Linked DNA regions of Solanum lycopersicum. The protein of the gene in region 1 binds, or shares a complex with, the protein of each later gene. Links are inferred from orthologs where the notes say so. Each region holds a gene or a part of one and is shown in the gene's direction. Other genes may lie near its edges. The genes, in order: protein TIC 55, chloroplastic; protein TIC 20-v, chloroplastic; protein TIC110, chloroplastic; protein TIC 20-II, chloroplastic; protein TIC 22, chloroplastic; protein TIC 40, chloroplastic.

Evidence for each region.
Region 2: protein TIC 55, chloroplastic (region 1) and protein TIC 20-v, chloroplastic share a complex: the UniProt entries of both Arabidopsis thaliana proteins name them as parts of the tic complex. The link is inferred for Solanum lycopersicum from reciprocal best matches to the Arabidopsis thaliana genes TIC55-II and Tic20-V.
Region 3: protein TIC 55, chloroplastic (region 1) and protein TIC110, chloroplastic share a complex: the UniProt entries of both Arabidopsis thaliana proteins name them as parts of the tic complex. The link is inferred for Solanum lycopersicum from reciprocal best matches to the Arabidopsis thaliana genes TIC55-II and TIC110.
Region 4: protein TIC 55, chloroplastic (region 1) and protein TIC 20-II, chloroplastic share a complex: the UniProt entries of both Arabidopsis thaliana proteins name them as parts of the tic complex. The link is inferred for Solanum lycopersicum from reciprocal best matches to the Arabidopsis thaliana genes TIC55-II and Tic20-II.
Region 5: protein TIC 55, chloroplastic (region 1) and protein TIC 22, chloroplastic share a complex: the UniProt entries of both Arabidopsis thaliana proteins name them as parts of the tic complex. The link is inferred for Solanum lycopersicum from reciprocal best matches to the Arabidopsis thaliana genes TIC55-II and Tic22-IV.
Region 6: protein TIC 55, chloroplastic (region 1) and protein TIC 40, chloroplastic share a complex: the UniProt entries of both Arabidopsis thaliana proteins name them as parts of the tic complex. The link is inferred for Solanum lycopersicum from reciprocal best matches to the Arabidopsis thaliana genes TIC55-II and TIC40.

The regions. Positions count from the first base shown.
Region 1 is NC_090811.1:67,626,382-67,630,612, reverse strand, and holds the start of protein TIC 55, chloroplastic, read left to right. Parts: upstream 1-1,431; 5' UTR 1,432-1,586; coding exon 1,587-2,032; intron 2,033-3,116; coding exon 3,117-3,219; intron 3,220-3,316; coding exon 3,317-4,231. UniProt on the Arabidopsis thaliana protein: Involved in protein precursor import into chloroplasts. Part of the redox regulon consisting of TIC32, TIC 55 and TIC62.
Region 2 is NC_090811.1:6,212,382-6,215,251, forward strand, and holds protein TIC 20-v, chloroplastic, read left to right. Parts: upstream 1-1,483; 5' UTR 1,484-1,559; coding exon 1,560-2,153; 3' UTR 2,154-2,370; downstream 2,371-2,870. UniProt on the Arabidopsis thaliana protein: May be involved in protein precursor import into chloroplasts. Not redundant with TIC20-I, TIC20-II or TIC20-IV.
Region 3 is NC_090808.1:26,785,271-26,789,251, forward strand, and holds the start of protein TIC110, chloroplastic, read left to right. Parts: upstream 1-1,181; 5' UTR 1,182-1,325; coding exon 1,326-1,831; intron 1,832-2,049; coding exon 2,050-2,109; intron 2,110-2,769; coding exon 2,770-2,893; intron 2,894-3,027; coding exon 3,028-3,096; intron 3,097-3,193; coding exon 3,194-3,292; intron 3,293-3,504; coding exon 3,505-3,571; intron 3,572-3,981. UniProt on the Arabidopsis thaliana protein: Involved in protein precursor import into chloroplasts. Forms a voltage-dependent cation-selective channel at the inner envelope of chloroplasts, which specifically responds to a transit peptide.
Region 4 is NC_090810.1:3,715,883-3,718,510, reverse strand, and holds protein TIC 20-II, chloroplastic, read left to right. Parts: upstream 1-1,403; 5' UTR 1,404-1,440; coding exon 1,441-2,055; 3' UTR 2,056-2,128; downstream 2,129-2,628. UniProt on the Arabidopsis thaliana protein: May be involved in protein precursor import into chloroplasts. Not redundant with TIC20-I, TIC20-IV or TIC20-V.
Region 5 is NC_090803.1:65,447,896-65,452,033, reverse strand, and holds the start of protein TIC 22, chloroplastic, read left to right. Parts: upstream 1-1,338; 5' UTR 1,339-1,451; coding exon 1,452-1,889; intron 1,890-2,271; coding exon 2,272-2,334; intron 2,335-3,340; coding exon 3,341-3,415; intron 3,416-3,933; coding exon 3,934-3,984; intron 3,985-4,138. UniProt on the Arabidopsis thaliana protein: Involved in protein precursor import into chloroplasts. Imported into the intermembrane space via the Toc translocon. May be involved in the import pathway used by proteins without a cleavable N-terminal pre-sequence.
Region 6 is NC_090810.1:11,546,921-11,550,420, reverse strand, and holds part of protein TIC 40, chloroplastic, read left to right. Parts: intron 1-1,082; coding exon 1,083-1,177; intron 1,178-1,763; coding exon 1,764-1,833; intron 1,834-2,888; coding exon 2,889-2,967; intron 2,968-3,500. UniProt on the Arabidopsis thaliana protein: Involved in protein precursor import into chloroplasts. Part of the motor complex consisting of a co-chaperone (TIC40) and a chaperone (HSP93) associated with the import channel (TIC110).

The DNA.
Region 1 (4,231 bases):
ATATGCGCAAGTAGGCATTTATACTTAAATAAAACTAAACAAATAGACACATTCGTCCTACGTGGCACCTACATGACAATTTTGTGTCCTACGTGGTCTCCTACATGTATTATACCATATAGGACACATGTGCTTGCTTGTTCAATTTTATACAAATATAGATTCATACTTATGCACACGTTGGAGGGTATAGTTGTCTACTGAAATCAAGTTCATATTCATGTGTTATGCCAAAACTAAATTCTAAGCTAAAAACTTTATATATAAATAGTATAAACATAATTTGTTATCAATTATCGATTATCTCATCTAAAGAAAATCTTACACCATTAAAAATCAATAATCTAATATAAGAAAAAAAAAAAGATCTCGACCAATTGTGTATTTCAATAATTAATATTCTAATTACTAATTATTAATACATTTTTATCTTTACCAAATAGAGTAATACTTTATACTAAAAGCAAACCATTTATTGTAATCCATGTTGAAATAATTAATGAGAACTTATCTAATTTGGTATGGTTAACCTACTTTGACCTTTTCTTTTATATGTTGTTACTTTGTTCTTTTATTAATTGTTTTTAGCAAGATATTTTTGCTAATATATTTAATTTACACAATTTATGATATGCTTACTCAATTAAAGGAATAAGAATACCCACTCTGTCTATTTTTATTTGTCATATTGCGTTTTTCGAAAGTTAATTTAATTAATTTTTAAAGTTAGATTAAATTACGTTAATTTAATATTTTTTTTTAAAAAAATAGATATTCAAAAATTATACGAAAAGTACTATAAATTACAATTTTTTTGCATATCAATATGATACAAATATACATCGTAAAATATTGGTAATCGTTTTTATAGTTTGACTCTAAAAAAAATCATGATGTAAGGATTAGACATGGATAAATTCTTTTCAGTTTATAGTTTATTAGGGTTTTGAACAATTTATTTTACGCATATTAATAAAATCTATTTGTTAACACATACAAAATTTAGACAAAAGCTACTAGGTTCTATCGAACTGATAACAAATATTTACTTTCACCTAAGTATTGAATCATGAAAGGAACAAAACGTCATATATGAAACTTATTTTTTCTGCTTTTACCACTAAAGACATCTATTTTTAAGGGCATAATATATAAATATGTTCTATAATTTGGCTTCGAATCATATTTATGTCCTTCAACTTTGGGTGTGCACAAGCAGACACTTAAAGTTGAATAAATAGACACACATATTCTACATATCATTTTTTATCCTATGTGTATTGTGTTATGTAGGACTCATGTGTTTTTTTATTTAAAAGTTGGACAGTTAAAGTGTTTGTTTGAACATTATGAAAGTTGAAGGTCAGCGTTAAAATTTGAAATCAAATTTAGAATCCAATATATATATTATGACAATTTTAATGGTAGATTATATCATGTTGATAGAAGGCATCTTTTTTGGAAATATTGTAGATTGAGACACAACAATTCTTTGTATTTGTGTGGCTACCATTGGTTCAACAAAACAAGAAGCAACACAAAGGTCTTCTACTTCAACATGTCAACAAAAACTACAAGTGTCTCTAATGCATCCAACTCCTTTTTCCTCCCAAAAATCACTCACAATAATGGCTTTACAACAACCATTTCTATCTGAATTACTACTCCACTCATCTTCAATTAGAACAACACTCCCCAAAAGTTCACTTTTTTCTCTACAAATACCTCAAAGATTCAATCTTTATCTTCAAAATAAGCAAATCAAGAAACAAGGAACAAGTTGTTATGCAATTGCTGAGAATCTTGAAGCTGAGGATCAAAGTTTGATTTTGGAAAATTCAAGTTTAGATGAGTTGAGGGGACAAAGGGAAATTGTTGGTTATGATTGGACTGAAGAATGGTATCCTTTGTATTTAACCAAGAATGTACCTAATGATGCACCTTTAGGTCTTACTGTCTTTGATAAACAAGTTGTTTTGTATAAAGATGGAAGTGGTGAACTTAGATGCTTTGAAGATAGATGTCCACATAGGTAAAAAGAACATACTATATATGTTTGTGTTTTCATTGTCTCAGTTCAGTGTACAAAGCATCTCGATATAAATAGTACTAATTAAACGTATAGGTCACACAGAGATAACTTTGTTTGTTCAAGAACTTAGTATTTTAGCATGATCTTGTTATGCATAGACATTTCTTTTTTACTTGTTCCTTATGTAGTTAAGTGATAGCTAATACATTATGTAGTTGCTTAATTTCTCTTGATTAGCTAAAATCTATGTTTCGTGTAAGGGACAAGTACAAGAAGGGAAGTAGGAAGAATCGATTTGTAGCAACTACGATTTGAGTTACTAGTCGTTGGAAAGTCTCACAAGACGGATGAGCTCCGTTTTTTTTCATCATACTATGGTGGAAAAACATCTGTTTTTTCCAATACCTATAGTGATGTATTTATATGTATAGGAGGAGGACAAGTTAATGGTCTACTTAGCACCTCTTATGGATGGACCTAACCATAGCATTTTCCAATGGCTTATGTGGTTCGAGTTGAAAGCAACGAGTTCAAGCAGAATTTACCCTTCTCTTATTGTATCCTCTTGAAATAGCTCAAATGAGTGTAATAACGTACAACATTTTCCTCTTTAGTTTTGGTCTTGTTAAGCTGCTGAATGTTAACTGATTTTTCCGCGTTTCCATAAGCTCATAGTGATTTAGAAGTATTTTAGTACATGTTGTGTATTTTCAGGAATGAAGCTTGATATGAGTTCGATTCACGACAATGTATAACTGTCAGTCTGTTATGTTTTAATTCTTCATATCTGTTGATAATGTGTGAAGTAATCCTCCTTTAGTGTTCCCTGTTTTTCCCCCCTCTATCTGGCATGTATCTCTGTCTATCTATTAGTTTTGACGGAGCAACAAAGGGCTGAATCTCAGTGGTCCGTGACAGTAAGGCCACTCTACAACTTACATTACCCCGTCTTGTCTATCCATTAGTTAAGGATTCAACTAAACTGACTTCCAGATTGTCGCGAGATCAGTACCTCTTTCTGCTTTACTTCTATGCATTTCATAACAGTAACTCCGGAATCGTGACAAATTTCTTCTGAATTCAGATTGGCCAAACTCTCCGAAGGGCAACTGTATGATGGCAAACTGGAATGCTTGTATCACGGTTGGCAGTTTGACGGAGATGGTAAATGTGTCAAGATACCACAGGTTGGTTTTATATATGCATTTTCGTTTATGTTTCGTGTTGCAAATGTAATGTTATGCACTCTATTTTCATTTCCGTCTTTGATTTTGTTCCGTCCAGCTACCTGAAAATGCTAAAATTCCTCGATCAGCTTGTACGAAGACATATGAAATTCGGGATTCCCAAGGAGTAGTCTGGATATGGATGTCTCATAGAACACCACCTAATATTAACAAAATCCCCTGGTTTGAAAATTTTGAGAGGAAAGGATTTCGAGACATTTCTACTATTCACGAGCTCCCTTATGATCACTCTATTCTTCTCGAAAACCTTATGGATCCTGCTCATGTCCCGATATCACACGATAGGACAGATTTTACGGCGAAAAGGGAAGATGCTGGACCACTGTTTTTCGAGGTGACAGAAAGGACTAACCGAGGGTTTGCAGGGTGGTGGGGTAAAGAAAGAGATCAAGGCAAAGCAAACTATACTCCGAACTTCTTACGTTTTGAATCTCCTTGTGTTCTTCAGAATAATAGAGAAATTGTTGATGAGAGTGGGGAGAAGCATTACTTTTCGGGTCTTTTTCTTTGTAGACCATCTGGACAAGGGAAATCGATGCTTATTGTTCGGTTTGGGAATACAAGAAAACGAACCGGGATACTTAAATTTATCCCAAACTGGTTCTTGCATCAGAATGCAAGCAAGGTTTTCGAGCAAGATATGGGGTTCCTTTCGTCCCAAAACGAAATCCTAATGAAAGAAAAGGTTCCAACAAAGAAACTATACTTGAACCTTAAGTCGTCGGATACATGGGTAGCTGAATACAGGAAGTGGATGGACAAAGTGGGGCACGGAATGCCTTATCATTTCGGTCACAGCACCATTTTCCTGCCTCAACAACCTGCTGTCGTTGAGCACGCCCCTGCTGGTTTCGTTGCCAATTTTTCAGCTGCTCAGCCAGCTAAAGGAGGAATCGGTGGAATATATGCTCCGAACCCTGCCAACAGATACTTCAGACATGTTGTACATTGC
Region 2 (2,870 bases), about 61 Mb from region 1:
AAGTAGAAGAAAAAGTAAAAAGGTAAGATTTGATCCTGATTGTGTTGTAGCAATTTTTGAGCTTGGTATGGTATTTGAAAGTGTATACATAATTTTGTTCATTTCTTACTCTACTATATAAAGTCTCATTTTAAGATATTTCTATGCAGCTGGTACTTCAGGAGAAAAAATTATCAATTTGAGAGTTTATAAGGATGCAGCTCCAACAAATATTGATATTGGTTATAAGCCTCGAGGACTCAAGTGGAATGGTGGAGATGCTGTCACTGGTTCACAGTTGAAACAAATCACTTATTCAAGAAAAAACAAGCGTGGAACATCTAGTGCACCAAAGAATGCCTAATTTATGTAGAAAAATCACTTTTTGGTTGTGTAATTAGCAGCAGAAATTTGTATTGACTGCTTGAAACTTGAAGCTCACTAGAGCAAATTAATGGCATGAATGATCAATTTTTACTGCTTTTGAGGCATAAATTATCTACACTCCTTCAATTAAATCATTACAATAAAAACACAAGGCATTTACAATAGAAAAATCGATCAAAATTGTCCACAAAGAACTCTACAATCTACCATACATACTTTTATGAAGGAATCTAATTGAAGACAAATGAACCAACTAAGATCATTTTGTTACACAAATCCAAGTAGCCAATATCATCCCTACGATAATGCATATCATCCATATTTTTCTTGATCGATTCCTCTCCAATTCATATGTTTTGACTATTTTCGACAAACCCCATATCACCCTCCTAGCTTGAGCAGGCATTTCATCATCATACCATCGAAAATATCCACATCCACCTCGTGCCTACAAAATTAAAGAAAAAAATTGAATTATAAATAAGGTGATTCTTTACTATATTGGACAAAAAAAAGTGAATTTGATTTACCTTTGAAGTTTTGCAACAAAGGAATATACGTCCAGGATTGGATTGCGTCCATGAGATCTTCATTTTCACAACGTTCCCATATTGACATAGTACTTTCGCAGTTAAAGAAGAAGAAATCGATGAAGTAGATAAATTTGACATTGAAACTTGATGATTAAAAAGAAATCAATGAAAAAGAGATATAATATAATGAGCTAAAGAGGAGAAATAATGATGAAGAGAAACAAAAGAGGAGAAATAAGGGAAGAATGGGAGAAATTAGGATTAAAAGGGGGAAGAAAATCGTTGGTGGATGGTTCAAGATCCACATCAGCGCTTTTAAAGCGTCTGCACACGCTTAAAGGACGTGAGATCACGTTTGGCTCCACATTAGCCAAGAATATTTAAAAAGATCAAATTATAGGGGGTTAAAAGATTCAATAGGAATCTAGATTAGTTGAGGTAACTGGGAAAAACACGAACAACTTTAAAGACTTGCGTATGTATTTGACCCGTAGACATTTTTCCTCCAAAATGGATATGGAATTATGGATATTCAAATGGTATCAATGTAGCCCGACCCGCAATTCCATCAGGATTTTCAATTGACTGCTGACCTAATCCAATTTCCCCTTTTTCATTCTTTCTCCCCCCCAAAACAAATATCTTTGGCCATCCTCAACAATGGCCATCACCAATCTTTTATCCACCACCATTACACTCAAACACTCGCCATTTCTTCTACTGAAACCCTCAACAAAACTCAGAAACCCTAAAAGGCCAACAATTCGAGCTCAATCTAAGAACGACGACTCAGTAGATGGTCCAGATCGTTTAATCTCCGCCATAACTTACTTCTACCCTTTCTTTGATGGTGTTCAGTACGGTAAATATGTAATCACACAGTTTGCTCCAATACAAACACTTATTCAACCTTTAGTACCAGCTATAAGGGTTTTTAAGAGCTTTCCGCTTAACGGGTTGTTGGTTTTCTTTACACTCTACTTTATTGTTGTAAGAAATCCTAATTTTAGTAGATATGTCAGGTTCAACACTATGCAAGCTATTGTTCTTGATGTGCTTCTCATTTTTCCTGATTTGTTGGAGAGGAGTTTCAATCCAAGTGATGGGTTTGGGTTGGATTTGATGATGAGCTTTGATAGTACTGTGTTTTTGTTTCTTTTGGTATCTTTGGTTTATGGTACTTCGTCTTGCTTGTTGGGTCAGCTACCTAGATTGCCTATTGTTGCTGAAGCTGCTGATAGGCAAGTGCTATGAACTCGTAATTTTACTTGTTTATGAGGTTTCATCCTCTTTGTACACTTAATTATGTTTTGCTTTAGCTGACAATTAATATCTATTTCGTTCCGAAAGTAAATGTTTATGCTCTTTAGAGCCTTGTTCATGCATATCATTTTGCTGTTTCTTAATGTGGATATGTATATTCTTGTAATGGCATTTCGGTTTCTTTAATCAAGTAACTACTTTTTTTCTATGTATCTGCATTAACAAAAATATATAGAGGTATTTCTTTTTTATAACCGTAATGTCCTGGCGTACACCTCAACTATTTCATGGAATATCTTAACTGGAATTGTTCCAAGTGACTCTGCCCACTACAACTTAGGCAAATAGAAGATCTTATTGCCTCTGCATAGATTTGCACTTTCGTGTTGTGTAGTTTCGTTCCAGCTTCATGGACTTTGATGGCTTGCCATTGAGTGCCACAAAGGTGGTGATATTATCTACAAGTTCTGTCATTTTTTGATATGAAGATAGTTCAATCCCTATTTCTAGGTAACATGTTAGTTACATCACCATTCTTTTTTTTGGTTTTTGGATGAGGTAACATGTTACATCATCGGTATGTTGGTGTTTAAGGAAGAAATTCATGATCCTAGTAGCCAGTTGTATCATGATTTTAAGTAAGGGTCTCGTTTTGTATTATCTTGAAAAGGGCAAGTATGCAGAGATACACGGAAGTTAGGTATCAGG
Region 3 (3,981 bases), on another chromosome or scaffold:
GACATTTAGATGAGTCCGAAAGAAGATTCTATGCATAGATGCTTTGAGATCAAAGATAATTAACGTCAATGAAGATGACTTAGCATATTCATGAATTTTCATCTCTATAAAGCAGCACAATCACCCATTCCAATCCCCGCATCCCTACATTGCTTGTTAACTCTTGGATTCATCTATATTTTAGTTCAATTTCAATAATTGATAACCTAAGCTTTATATTAAGTTGATTGTATTATCCACCCTATTGTTCTTACTATTACAAATGTGTTAAATTAAACTCCAAATTTCTTGATAAGGAATTCTCCACTATATATCATTCCATGTGGGATTCTATCCGTACTTTTCGCTAAGTTTTACTGATAGTGATTTGAGCGTTATCAGTCAACTGCTGCTACTATTGATTAGTGACTCTTCATAGTTCGAGGGCTAGGTCATCACTGGCTTTATCGTTTCTAATCTTTTCAATTTTTAGATATTATTCGTGGCGTAGAAGTTCATGTTCTAGTCACATTATGATTAATAGAGGACTTGTCAAACATAGACAATGTTCCATGTATTCCCTTATGTACTATGTTGGTATCTTTTATGCCATTGGTAGATTTACAACTTATATTGATTATATCTTTTGGATTGTCTTTATTATGTCATACTCATGTCAAGTAGTTTAATTTGTTTATAGCCTCTTGGTGTTTCATTCGCCATGTCGCGCCTAGGGATACTTTGCATCGTGACAATTTTATTTATTTTCTTGATTTTTCTTTTATATGTGTACTCATAATTTTATTTAATTAAATTAGCTTATAAATTTAATTTATTTAGAAAGAGTTGTTTGTTACTAAATAAATTCAATACAAGTCAATGCAATATTTAAAAATGTTAGTTGTTTAACATTTACTAATTGAAAAAACAAATATATCATCACATGACATTTTTGATCTTAGTTGTATGTATTATTTGTTGATATATATATTTTCTTATTATTTTGTTGATTAATTTATAAAACTACATACATATAACGAGTTTTTGGCCAAAAACATATTTTTATGTGTAAACTACTTTGGTTTATACAATTTTAATATCGTTTATCGATTTACAAATATAACAATTCATTGGTGTTGAAATGCGGCAAATGACAAATAATATTATGTTGACCCAATTACAAGATAATAAACCTATGTTATTCCAAAAAAACAAACAAACCTTTATTATTCAACTTGTACCCCCTCAGACCCCTATCCTCTTCTTCTTCTTCCTAGTTCCAAACTCCGGACGACTTGGTTAAACCCTACTTGAACATCAACTAGTTATTAGAAGAGGTAGTAGATATGAACCCATCATCACTTCTCCTCCCTATCAATCAACCTCCTCCTGTCAACACTTTCCGCTCTCAATTTCTCAATCCTACACCTCTCCGTCTTACCCCTAAATTCTACCTAAAACGCCGCATTCAGTCCACCGTCATTTCATCTTCATCTGCCTCTCTTCAGCACAAACCTACTTCCGTCAACCCAGATGTCTTTGGAGGTAAAAAGGAACTTTCTCCTATTCAATCCCTTGTTGATGCCATGTCACCCCCCATAAGAATAGCCAGCTCCGCTTTGATATTTGCTGCTGCTATTGCTGCTGGATACGGTCTTGGTCTTCGTTTTGGTGGATCCCGGAATGCTGGGCTTGGTGGTGCTATTGCTTTTGGTGCTGCTGGTGCCGGCGCTGCTTATGCATTGAATTCTTGCGCTCCTCAAGTTGCTGCTATTAATTTGCATAACTATGTCGCTGATTTTGACAACCCTGCTGCCTTGAACAAGGAAGATATTGAATCAATTGCCAATAAGTTTGTCCACTATGCACATTTGGCTTTTTTTTTTTTAAAAAAAAAATATATATATGTGTTATCAGTGACTAATTAAATTAGATACCAAGTGTGAGCAAGTTATTCTCTACTGCAGAATCTTGGACTATTTAGCTACATTATGAGCTCTCACACCCAACTTTCTCATACTTATTTTTCTACGTCTTTTCCTTACCAATTTACTGCTTTTTATCTTTAAGGTATGGTGTCAGCAAACAGAATGAGGCATTCAATGCGGAGCTGCGAGATATATATTGCCGGTGAGTGCAAAATCAAGTACTGATTTCTTAAAAACTCTTACGGCTGACACGAAACTTGCATTTATTACAATTTTTCAATGTTATATGATAATCTCTTTTTTTTCATTTTTGGTTTCTTCTCCCTGACTCTCGAATGACAAATTTTTCTTTTTATGAATTGCTTGCTTGGATATAAATAACTAAATTTTACCCTTTGAAGCACTTTGTAGGATAAAGTATGGCTTTTGCACTTTGTAGAATAAATTTATTGTTCTTCCATTCCCAAGATGTGTCCCAAAGTGTGTCAAGTTTTGCAAATCAAAAAAAGAAGGAAAATACTGTCACCTTTCTGGAATTACAACTTCTTCCACATACTTTTCTAGTTTTCTATAATATTTTAGTTCTTTATGACCCAGAAAGTGTCAAATTTTCTAACCTTGTCTTGACATATTGACCCAGTTACATTTGAATGGAAAACTGTCCATCCTGTTGTGATACTTGTCTTGGACACCTAAAGGGAATCAAGCATAGTGTTTCTCTGATCCATTTATAATGTTTATCTTGAAATTTGAATGTTTTTGACTATTTTATCTACCAATGACAAGGAATGACTAACTTGGTAGTTTAAACATTGTCAGCTTATCTACCGTCACATATGCATCCAATTTTGTTTGTGTTCAGGTATATATCTGCTGTCCTTCCTGCTAGTACTGAAGAACTTAGAGGCGATGAAGTTGATACAATAATCAAATTTAAAAATGCATTGGGAATTGATGATCCAGATGCAGCAGATATGCATATGGAGGTAACTTGAAGTATCCATCTGATTCTGTACCTAAGAGTTGTAAAACTTCTAGCTGTGGTTGGCTCAAAGTTAAAATGTTATGTTATCAAATAATTTACCAAGTATTAAGAAACTCTTACATGTTGATCTCTCAGATTGGTAGGCGAATCTTCAGGCAAAGACTTGAAACGGGAGATCGTGATGGAGATATGGAGCAACGTCGGGTGGGTCATCTCTTCAAAAAGCTTCAGTTTCCAAAGACTACTGCCTTAAGTTATCGAATAACAACAAATGGAACTTGATCATTTTTGACTTCTCCAGGCATTTCAGAAGTTGATATATGTCTCAACTCTTGTATTTGGAGAATCATCTGCTTTCCTTTTACCTTGGAAACGTGTTTTCAAGGTTACTGATGCCCAGGTAGCGGATTATTTATCACTCTCTCCCTCTTTGTGGAGTATTCAGATTGTGCAGTGGCATGTCCTGCTTGTGTGGTTTTAACATTTCTGTATTTTGATTTGAGGTTCCTGTCATTTGTCTCTTTCCCTGCCCCCTTCATTTATGTAATATTAGATTTCTATATAGTGCGACCCCCTGTGTCCTTTTACTCGTTTTAACATTTTTGCCATTAGGTTGATGTTGCTGTCAGGGACAATGCACAACGGTTGTATGCCTCCAAGCTTAAGTCTGTTGGGCGAGGTAAGTTTTCTCTATTGATGCCTTTGAAGGCACTTTTACTTCTAACGTAACCTATTCATAGGAAACCATTTTACTAGTTTTCTTTTGCATACCTAATTAAACTAATGCTCTTCCAAACTACTTGTCGATATTCTTGGGTATGTTTTCTAAAATTTTCGATCTCTATTAAACTGATTCTAATAAATCTGTATATGTGCTTAAATTTGGCTTTTTTGTGGTATGTGGTGCTTAATCCTGAACAAAGATGAATCATACCATGAGGCTCCACATATGTGGCATGGGTTTAGTATGTTCTATTCATGCACTGAGTAGAGACTTTTTTGAAGTCTTTCTGTCGCTTCAAATTTCTTTGCATTTTAGTGATATATCCTATTGGTTTATGGGTTTTGAGAGCCTTCTGACGATAGCTC
Region 4 (2,628 bases), on another chromosome or scaffold:
TTCCTTCAGGCATTTGTTACTCAAAGATTGTGGCTTTTGGATCTTCCGAGAAGTTGCCTCATCGATAAAGGCCAGCGAATATAGGAAGTGAAACTGGAAAAAGTATATTGAGATATGTTGATATATCTTTTTTCAAATTATTGACCTACATTATGGCAATATAGTGTAAGCTAGTCCTGACTACAGTTTTGTATACTGCCACCCAAATGTTTTCATGTGAGAATAGTCACTTCAAGTTGCATTGTAGTAGATTTGGAATTTCCACAGTGTTGTTTTTGCTCTCATTTTGTGACGACATGCTTCAAACTTTCTTCGCAAGGTACGGGCAAGGTTGTGTATACACCATCCTCCTCAAAATCTTATTTTTGTCTCATAAATAATGAGCTACTCGGAATAATGTAGCGATGGTCCCTTTCTCTTTGACATGAACTTAGTGAAACTGAGTTCTCTGCAAAGATGCGGTGTAGCGAATGTAGGGTTGTTCAAAATTGATCGGAACCGATATTCCGTATCGAAAAAAAGTTATTGGTTTAGCGGTTTTGAGAACGGCTTTGATTTTTTTTTTGTTATCGGGTTATCTTTTGAGGTTATCTCTTAACTGGATAACTGATAATCCGATGGTTAATTAAATAATTATATTCATATCATTTTGCTTATAAAGTCCTTAATTTAGAGTTTGGTTTCCTACTTTTGTTTCTGATTGTCTCAAACACTTGGTTATTCTACGATGTAAAAGTGTTTGCTTTTGAGCAAGATGAAACTTGTGAATTCATGTGCATGGTTAAATTGGTTTGCCACCTTGTTCTAAAGTGATTTTCAATGTGTTTTTTTGTCAAACTTAACGGTTAAATAAATTATCGAACCGAACGATCAATAACTGATAAGCTAATCTTAATGGTTCTACAACCGTTTAGCATATCTACAAATCGATAACTAATAAGTCAAATCGATAAACTTCAAAGCCGAAGTGTTCGATATGTAGCCCTAACTGAACGGATAGACGATAAGACCCTATGTACCTCAACTATAACTTAAATGTGTACGATAAGTTAGAGATGGCAACACACAACAATCAATTGATTAATCCTGAACTTCACAACAACTTTAATCGAATGTACAGATGAGAGGTGGCAACACATAACATAACAACCAACTGACAAAGAACTTCACACAATCTTAATTGAACCTATATGATATTTGAGAGGTGGCGACGCACAACGAGCTATATTGAAAATTACTCGTTGATCAATCAATAATCCGTTGTAGTCTAGTTGGTTAGGATACTCGGCTCTCACCCGAGAGACCCGGGTTCAAGTCCCGGCAACGGAAATTATTTTTTTTCTAATTTTTTAATCAAAATAATGCATTACAACTTGTACCTCAAACAACAAAAATCCATCTTTATAAACACCCAAAAAAAACCTCACATTTCCCCTAAAAATGGCTTCCATTCCTCTTCTCCGTTTCACTCCCACTACTACCCCTCGTCTTCTCCCCCACCCTCTCAGCCTCAATTTACTCCAAACCCGTATTCAAACCCGAACCCGTATCCATACCAAACCCACCACTTCCATCTCCGCCTCTTACAACCCAATCCCCGCCACCGACCGCCTTATCTCCGCCGTCGCTTACTTTCTCCCCTTCTTCAACGGCCTTCAATACGGCCGTTTCCTCTTCGCTCAATACCCAACCCTAGCTCTTCCATTTCAACCAATTCTCCCTCTTCTATCACTCTACCGGTCCCTCCCATACGCTAGCTTTGTCACTTTCTTTGCACTCTACTTAGGTATTGTTCGGAACGAGAATCTGAACAAGTACCCCCGGTTCAACGCCCTGCAAGCGGTGGTGCTCGACGTTCTACTGGTGCTTCCGATGTTGATTCAGAGGATATTTTCACCGGGTCAATCGGGTATTGGGCTGAAATTTACGGTTTGGATGCATAATGGGCTTTTTGTGTTTGTTGTGGGCTGTTTTATTTATGGGCTTGTTTCTTCTATACTTGGAAAAACTCCTTATTTGCCTTTTGTTACTGAAGCTGCTAATAGGCAAATGTAGTTCTTTTTAAAATTTATTTAATATGTTGTTTTGTGGTTTTCTCTAATGAAAGGAAGGTTTTTGTTGCATAGAATTGTAATTTTAATGTATGATATTTTAAATCGAATCGTCGATGAGATGTTTCTCCATGAGAGATGCAATGGAAAGGGCTCGTAAAGTTCAAATCTTGATAAAGTAACTTCTTGGGATAAATAATAATATCTTGATTTTGTAATGGAATCATTACACGTTATACTTCACACCGAACAACTCGTAAATGTACTAGTAATAATGGGTTTTCAATAATACATTGTTTCTTTATCAGCTATCAAACGATCTCTAAGGAATATCAATGGCTTTTGTTGAATAGAGAATATAATTCCTTTGCTTATATCAACACTTTTCAAGGTTTGGTCTACATGCATATCATACATTGTCCTCCTCAGATCCCACTTGTGGGATTACGCTGACTATGTTGTTTCTGTTGTCGTAAGTTACATTGTTAAAGGGTTGAACTTCAACAAAGAATAATAAAACTACATTTTGTTCATCATGCAAGGCCAAAACCAGAATACTATCATTGACCAGAAAAAC
Region 5 (4,138 bases), on another chromosome or scaffold:
TAGTTGGTTAGAGTTATGCATTGATATCTATTAGTAATGTAGTGATTATTTATGAATTAGTCGATCCATTATTTTATGCAGATATGAGTTATTCGTGTATTAGTTATCCATAAGACATACATTAGATTATTAGAATTAATTATTCCACTTTCTATTATGCATTAAATAATAAATAGATTTCATCATAAGTTATACATGTATTAATTGTGCAGATTTCTTAACTGTCAACTAAACATTGTATTAATTTTGTACATGTATAATTTATTTTCTATGATTTTATCCACCTACTAAACATGTATAAGTTGTACAAAAATTAATATGAGTAACTTGTTTCTCATCCAGCTTCCAATCACTTATATACATGTAATTATTTTCATTATTTGTGTCTATGTAAACATAATTTGACATGAGATTGAAGTCTCAGTCTAATAGTTACAAGTAACAACTTTAACTTGCATGTAAATGCCAAGTCTAAAAACAATATGCGTACGAATATATGTTTTTCAGGTCATTAGAAACTTTTTATGTACTATCGAACAATAATTTGGTGAATATAAAATGGAGGTTATTTGAGTTAATAAGCTTTGATTATTTTTTTATTGTTGCATCTTTGTGGTTTATACTAGGTCTTACTCCAACTAAATAACTTATGAAACAATGCAGATAAGAAATTAATTGTGTCAACTTTGTACTATACAAGTTACATGAAAATTAATTGAGAAGTCATCCCTATATTTAATTACTTTATGGAGAATCGAAAAGGATCAAATTTGTTTTTGAACTATGCAATTAAAACAAATTTGTCATTCATTACTATGAAGGTCAAATATGTCCTTGTCGTTACTAAAATGGGCTAAATTTGCCCTCGTTACCCCTCCTATTCTATTTTACAAGCACGTAGTAATAAACAAAGATCTCAAAAGTTTATTTTTTAATGAAAAAACACCACACTTGGCTTCAAGTTGCTTGATCTTGCATTTGATGTTTGTGAACAAAACGACCAGATATGTTCAAATTTGACCTCAATTGGCAAGTTAACACTTTAACTTTGAGTATGCACATCTAGATACTTCGACTCATCTTTAGCGTCCAGCTTTGTAAGTAATCATCTAGACACCTCTAAAATTTACATGTCACATCAGCATCAAGTGTCCACGGAAAATAGAGGGGTTGTTAGTTGAGATCAAATTGAGTTCAATAGATATTTTTACTTAATAGTTGAGATCAAGTTTGAGTGTGCCTATTTATATCTTATGCCGATATTCTTTATATAATATTTGTATATAAACTAGACAAACGAGACTATTATATATTGTGATTTGTGATGGATGGGCCTTTAGTAGATGGATTAGTAATAATAATAATTGGACCTAATGTGAACCGAAAGCCCAAACTTGAAATACGAAAGCCTTCTTCTCCGAATCCTCTTCCCCTTTCTCTGTAAACAATCAATGGAGTCCAAACCCTCAAGCGGATTCGGACCCTCCAGTAGTCCTCTACTGTCTCTCTCCACCTTCGTCCACCAGCACTGCTCCCGACTCGGTGCTGAACTCGCTAACCGATTCGACGAAGCGAAACGGCTGAGTTCTAAAATCGCCGCCGATTTTATGCAGCAGCCGCTGCCAGCGGCGATAGGGAGGAGTTGTTCGTTGCCGTTGCATTCTTATCATCTATCTCTTCCGTTCGCTTCGGTGTCGCAGCGTCAAGAGAAGGTCGCTAAAAATACCGGTTTGAGCTCGGATTATGTTGCTAAGACATTAACTGGAACTTCTGTATACACAGTTAGCAATTCTAACAATGAATTCGTGCTCATTTCGGACCCGAATAGTGCGAAGTCAATCGGATTATTGTGCTTCCGTCAAGAGGACGCCGAGGCATTTCTTGCTCAGGTGAACTTCATTTTTTAAAATGAATTTATCGAATTTTTTCTCTATAGAAGAGAGTGAAAGGAGAGATGAACTCCTTTATCAAAGTAGGGTAGCAGGAAGGGGAAAAGATATGTATAAATTAGCCCAAAAGAGAAAACTAAGTTAAAGATGATTGCTTTAAAAGAAATTATTGGGTAATTATCATTGGAACATTGCCTTCAAAGGTCAAATTATTTATTTTTGGGATGTATTGAACCTGAATATAGTGGAATTGATACATAAGATAGCAGATACAGAAGACATAATGTGGACCTTATTAGTTTGCAATTGAGGCGTTGTTATAGAAGTTTTGATATACATGGAAGGCTTGTTTGTGGAGAAATGAACACGTGAAGATTTTCAGGTACGGTTGCGGAAGAAGGAAGTGAGAGGTGGAGCTAAGGTAGTTCCGTTGACACTTGATCAGGTGAATTTTTGTTTCCTTTTGCTAGGAATTTTTCTTTTAAGGATGTATCTGCTTTGGTGATTATTTTCTTCTTTCCTTTTAAAAGTTTGTACATTCATTTGAAAAGAATTGCAAACTTTAGGAGTGACATTAGATTACTCTATGGAGAAGGCCATTTTCTTGTTTTAAGGATTGAACTTTAGCAAAATTTTAGTACCATGAAAGTGTCTGGTAATAGATATGGTATTTGTGATGGACAGTTTTGTCTCTAGTGCTTATCAAGATTGGTTGGTGGAAAGTCAGAAGCTACTGATGATCGACTTGTGTGTATATGTACAATCTATTTCTTTGCATATATTGATAACTTCTTCTTGCAAGAATGGGTATAAACTTTGATGGTTATTGAATCGTCCCTTATTAGTTAAAGAAGTGTTGGATTCAAATACAGCAGAATGGAGATACCGATCCTAACTTGTTTAGATTGACACATAGTTGATTGATTGAATCAAAACAGAGCATGCATGGTATTTAGCATAAGCAATGGAGTCTTTTCAAACGCACCCCTTGAGATAAGGCTCGATTAGATTACCTGACCATCTCAGGTTAAGATTAATTTACTGAGCCATTTTCCTTTACCATTCCTTTTAGTGATTTCTTCTCTTTTACATCATTAAGATAAATTGTATGCATTATTGATACATTTTGTATCTCTTGTTCATCCATAAAAAAGGGGATCCTATCGTGCTCCTTTTGAGCCTCAGACGTCTGATCTGTCCCGTTTAATATATCTTCTTCTGCTATTAAATTAAAAAGAAAAAATTGAAGCTTAACTTAAGAATGAAAGACATTTTTGTCTCTATTTAACAGGTCCAGTGTACATTAAATAATCTACTGCAACTAGTTGCAGTTGTCTGTATGTGCAAGAATTTCTGTTTTTTGCTTTTCCATTTCTTCCTAAAGGTGTTGCCAGGCACTTGTCCCGTATTTTGAATAGTTACACGTCTTTCTTGTTGGTATCACTTTGCAGGTTTACATGTTGAAGGTTGAAGGAATCGCATTTCGTTTTTTGCCAGATCCTGTTCAAATTAAGAATGCAATGGAGGTAGTTACCCATGTTGGTCATCCTTAAGTTTTGTGTCTGGGATCCTTGTAATTTCCACTGAATGTAGTAGAATTGCACAAGGACGCCTGTTCAGTTGTGCAAGTGAAAGTTATACTGTATATGTATATTCATCTACCTGTGATAGTTTTACGTGAAAGTACACTGGCATGTAGCTTTAACTAATGACCAGATTCCAGAGGTGGTAGAATTGCTTGCAACCCATCAATTTTTGAGGTCCACTGACATACCCTTGTTTTTTCTTCTCTTTACTGTTAATTCAAATATTTCCAAAATGGAGGTCTTTTCGAGATTTGAACTTGGGTTACTGACATGCCTGGTATGTAGGCTCTTGCTCACTAGTCTAGTAAATGAAGCATAGATTATTAATGGCTTGACCTCCATTGCCACCCAACTTCTGTCTCCTCCTCCTGGAAATATCTATTTGGCTAAACATAATATTTCAATGCATGCTTATTAAAAAAATCTGTTCATCTCAACATTGTCTTTTCCTGTGACAGTTAAAAGCTTCTGATGTAAAGACTGGATTTGATGGAGTCCCTGTTTTCCAGGTAGCATATAAACTTTTTTGCCAACTGTATGCAAAAAAACTCTAACATTACATGCTCAGCCTGTGTATTTTTTGAATTATGAGCCTTCACTCACTGGAAAGCTTTTGCTAAATATTTTGTATATCAGAGAGTGGACTGCTGAATATGGTTAAAC
Region 6 (3,500 bases), on another chromosome or scaffold:
AGCCTCTTGACATTTACCTTTGAATAGACCTTGTTAATGTCATGCTTTGATCACCCTTAACGTTGGTTTATCTCAATAAACTGAAGGATACTAGAGTATATCAGTGAGATAATTAAACTATTTTAAATGAGTGAGCTCACCACTAAATTTTAAGATTAAGCAATTTAGCTGTTGATCTTAAAAACACCAAAACATCAACCATCTACATAACATTCTTGAAGGAATTTGGAGTGTCATGATGTGATCCTTTGTGATCTTCTGAGCTTTTATATGGAAATTCATCTTTTCTGTTCTTTCTTATTTTCAAAGTATTTCTCACCCAAAACCACTTGCCATCTCTTTCATGCATAAAGTCACTATCACACAATATTGCTATGCTGGCACTCTGCAAGGGTATCCCCTAAGTTTGAATTAAGAAAAGTGTAATCCCCCCAAGTCATAGCCATTTTAATCCTAAGTATCCCTAGAAATCTAACCTCCTCATGTATCATTAGAACCCCTTGCTGATAACGGGGAGGGGAAGGCTGGTTTGGGAGAAAAGCTTACATTGAAGTGCAGGGAAACCCAATTTAAATAAAAGGAATGAGCAGGAGGAAGGTACCACTTCAATTTCTGTGAGGTTAATTCGTTTCAAGTATTTAACAAATTTTTATTTGTGTCTCGATCATCAAAAGTTTTTTTCTTTTCTTTTGCTAATCAAATAGATTACTGGCCTGACTTCCACAACAGTTCTTGACCAAAGCTAAGTTTAGACTCCACTAATATCCCAGAATAACGATCTCCTCAAAAAAGAATAGTAGGATGCTTTGCGGAAACAAAACTGATTTGTAACTTGTATCCTCCTTTGACATCTTTCTTAAATGCCAAGAACCATCGTGGACCAGTAGAAATTAATACCTGGGTTTAGTTGTAGTGGGACCTGAGCAGTTTTGTTCTAAATCATATTTACAAAAATGCTAATGCTTCCCTAGTTAGAACCACCTTTTTGCGATAGTGATACACTTTGTATTACTCTTATGAAATGTTCAGATTTTCTGGTTATGAACTCATGATATTAACTATGTGAATTAAACTTTTTGCAGCTTTTGTTGACATTTCTCCTGATGAAACATTCCAGAAGGGTGCCTTTGAAAATTTTAAGGACTCAGCTGAGACAGCTTCGGTAACTGTTGATCAGGTCGGTTGGTAGCTATTATCTGGGAATATGGTGTCGTTAGGGGTGTCAAATGGGCGCGTTGGGTTGAAATTGGAGATATTAAATGGGTTGAAATAGATATTGGGTTTGGGTCCTGACCCGCCCAAGTTTACTTTGGGTTCCAATGGGCTTAAAAACAGGTTGAGTCTTGACCCACCCAATTTTTCCCGCTTAATTCAACAATTTTAATGTATTGTTATTTAAGTTATATAACTACAATTTGAATTTCAACTAAAGAAAATTTTAAAAAAGAAGTGACAAATGGATAGATAAATCCGATAAGATATAAAATAGATAGTAATCCATACCTTTAATATAGGAACATACATTACAACAATGCAAATAAAGAGTCTTAAAACGGGTTGAAATTGGAGATTAAATTGGCCTCAATTGAGGATTCTCTTAAATGGGTTAGGACTTGAATGGGTTGGGATTGAATTCAATTGAAATTATCTTGTGCCCAACCCTCAAAATTATGGGCGGGTTACCTACAATTGTGCTCAATTTTGACACCTGTAGGTGTCGTCTAACAATTGCACTTCAATAATATTTTTTGAATCTCTATTAGGTAACTCAAAATGGAGCTGCTTCACAGTCGGGATTTGGTTCAAATACATCTGACAGTACCTCATCAACGGGTAAATCACTTGCTGGTTGGCCCTCATAGCTGTTGTACTACGAATGTCATTCAAGCATCAGGATTGGATGCATGTTCCTATCTTCTTACTCATGTTTTTATTGGTCATTTTCCTCTTTTCCTTCTTTTTCAATCATTATTTCTATGAGTTTATGAATCTTGCAATAGATAATAAAGATGGATTCATGGACATACTTCATAGCTACGTAGATCCTCCCTTTTAGCCTATTGGGTGGTTTGGAGGATGTGGTAAGCTGTGAATCATGCCCAAGGTGGTTAAACTATGAAGTGCATAATGCCCAACAAAATGAAATGAGGTTGTATGTTCCATAATCTGGTGGGGAAAATACATTCTGGGGTCTTTTTCTATTTAGGAAAAAATGGGGAGAAAGCCCAGTTTCTTGTCCAATTGCAGTATGTTTGTAGCATAATATAGATACGTAATGGTATTTTGGTGAATCTCCAGGGTGTAAGACTCCAAGAAATGGCATAATGTTAGTACTTTTTGTGTTTTCAATGCTATCCTTTTGAGTCCAACAAAAGGCTAAAGGCCGCATTATCATTGTAATGCACACATATGTATGTACAAATAAAATTTGGAAGTGGGTAAAAACTTGAAGTCAATAATCCATGTTGTAGGAGATATTGCATGAGATACAGACAAATGAGGTTCAGAAAAGAAAGATGAACATCCAGACAGAAGCTGTGACTTTGTAATGACCCGAATATTGTGTCCCGACTCCTGTGGGAACTTGAATAGAACTTCCTACATCCTAAAAAATGCTAAGTGCTCTAGCAGACATGTTTTACGAAAGAATGGCCTATTTCTTACAGATTTCATGGAACTCTCTGTCCATAAACTTGTTTTGAGGTTGGAGGTTTTGAGTGATAAATAGTCCAGCTTTATTGGTCATATCTGTTTATTAGTAAAATGTTGTGTGTAACTTTACTTGGGCCTAATTCTCCTTCATGCTTTCTTCTTATGAAAAAACAAATTGCTTCATGCTCTCTTCTCTCAGCTACAAGTAATTTTGCATGATCTGCTTTCTTGAACAGGAAAATCTAATCCTCTATTGTCGGTGGATGCTCTGGAGAAAATGATGGAAGATCCAACAGTGCAGAAGATGGTTTACCCGTAAGATAGCATCTACCTTTTCTGTTATATTCTATGAGTTGTGTTGGATTATCTTGAATATTTGCTGATATCTTTGATCACTTAGCATTCCGATTTATGATAATGGAACTCTAGTTTCAGTTACACCATGTTACTATGTACTGTGTTATAAATAAAATTGTATTGCACTTCTAATGGAATCAAAATTCTTTTGTTGAGATTTAGTTTTGAACCTCTCTAAAGCATTGCAGGGAAAATGTCATTCCATCAGTACTGTGTTTAATTGAATAGGTTTTTATAGTATGCTGTAGACTACTGTGGTAAAGATGGAAGGAAGTGAACTAATATGAGATTTGGGATGCTTAATTGATGTTTTAAAGAAGATTTTGGATGGACTCAAGAGAGCAGGACTTGGAGCATTATACCTTATTTCAGACAGATGGTAGGTAGTTAGTTGAAAATAATAAAGATGTGGAATGTACTTTTGAGAATGACTGGAAAAGTGTAATTAAGGTAACTTCGAGTTAATTGGCTAATGTATAGTCCTTATTAGA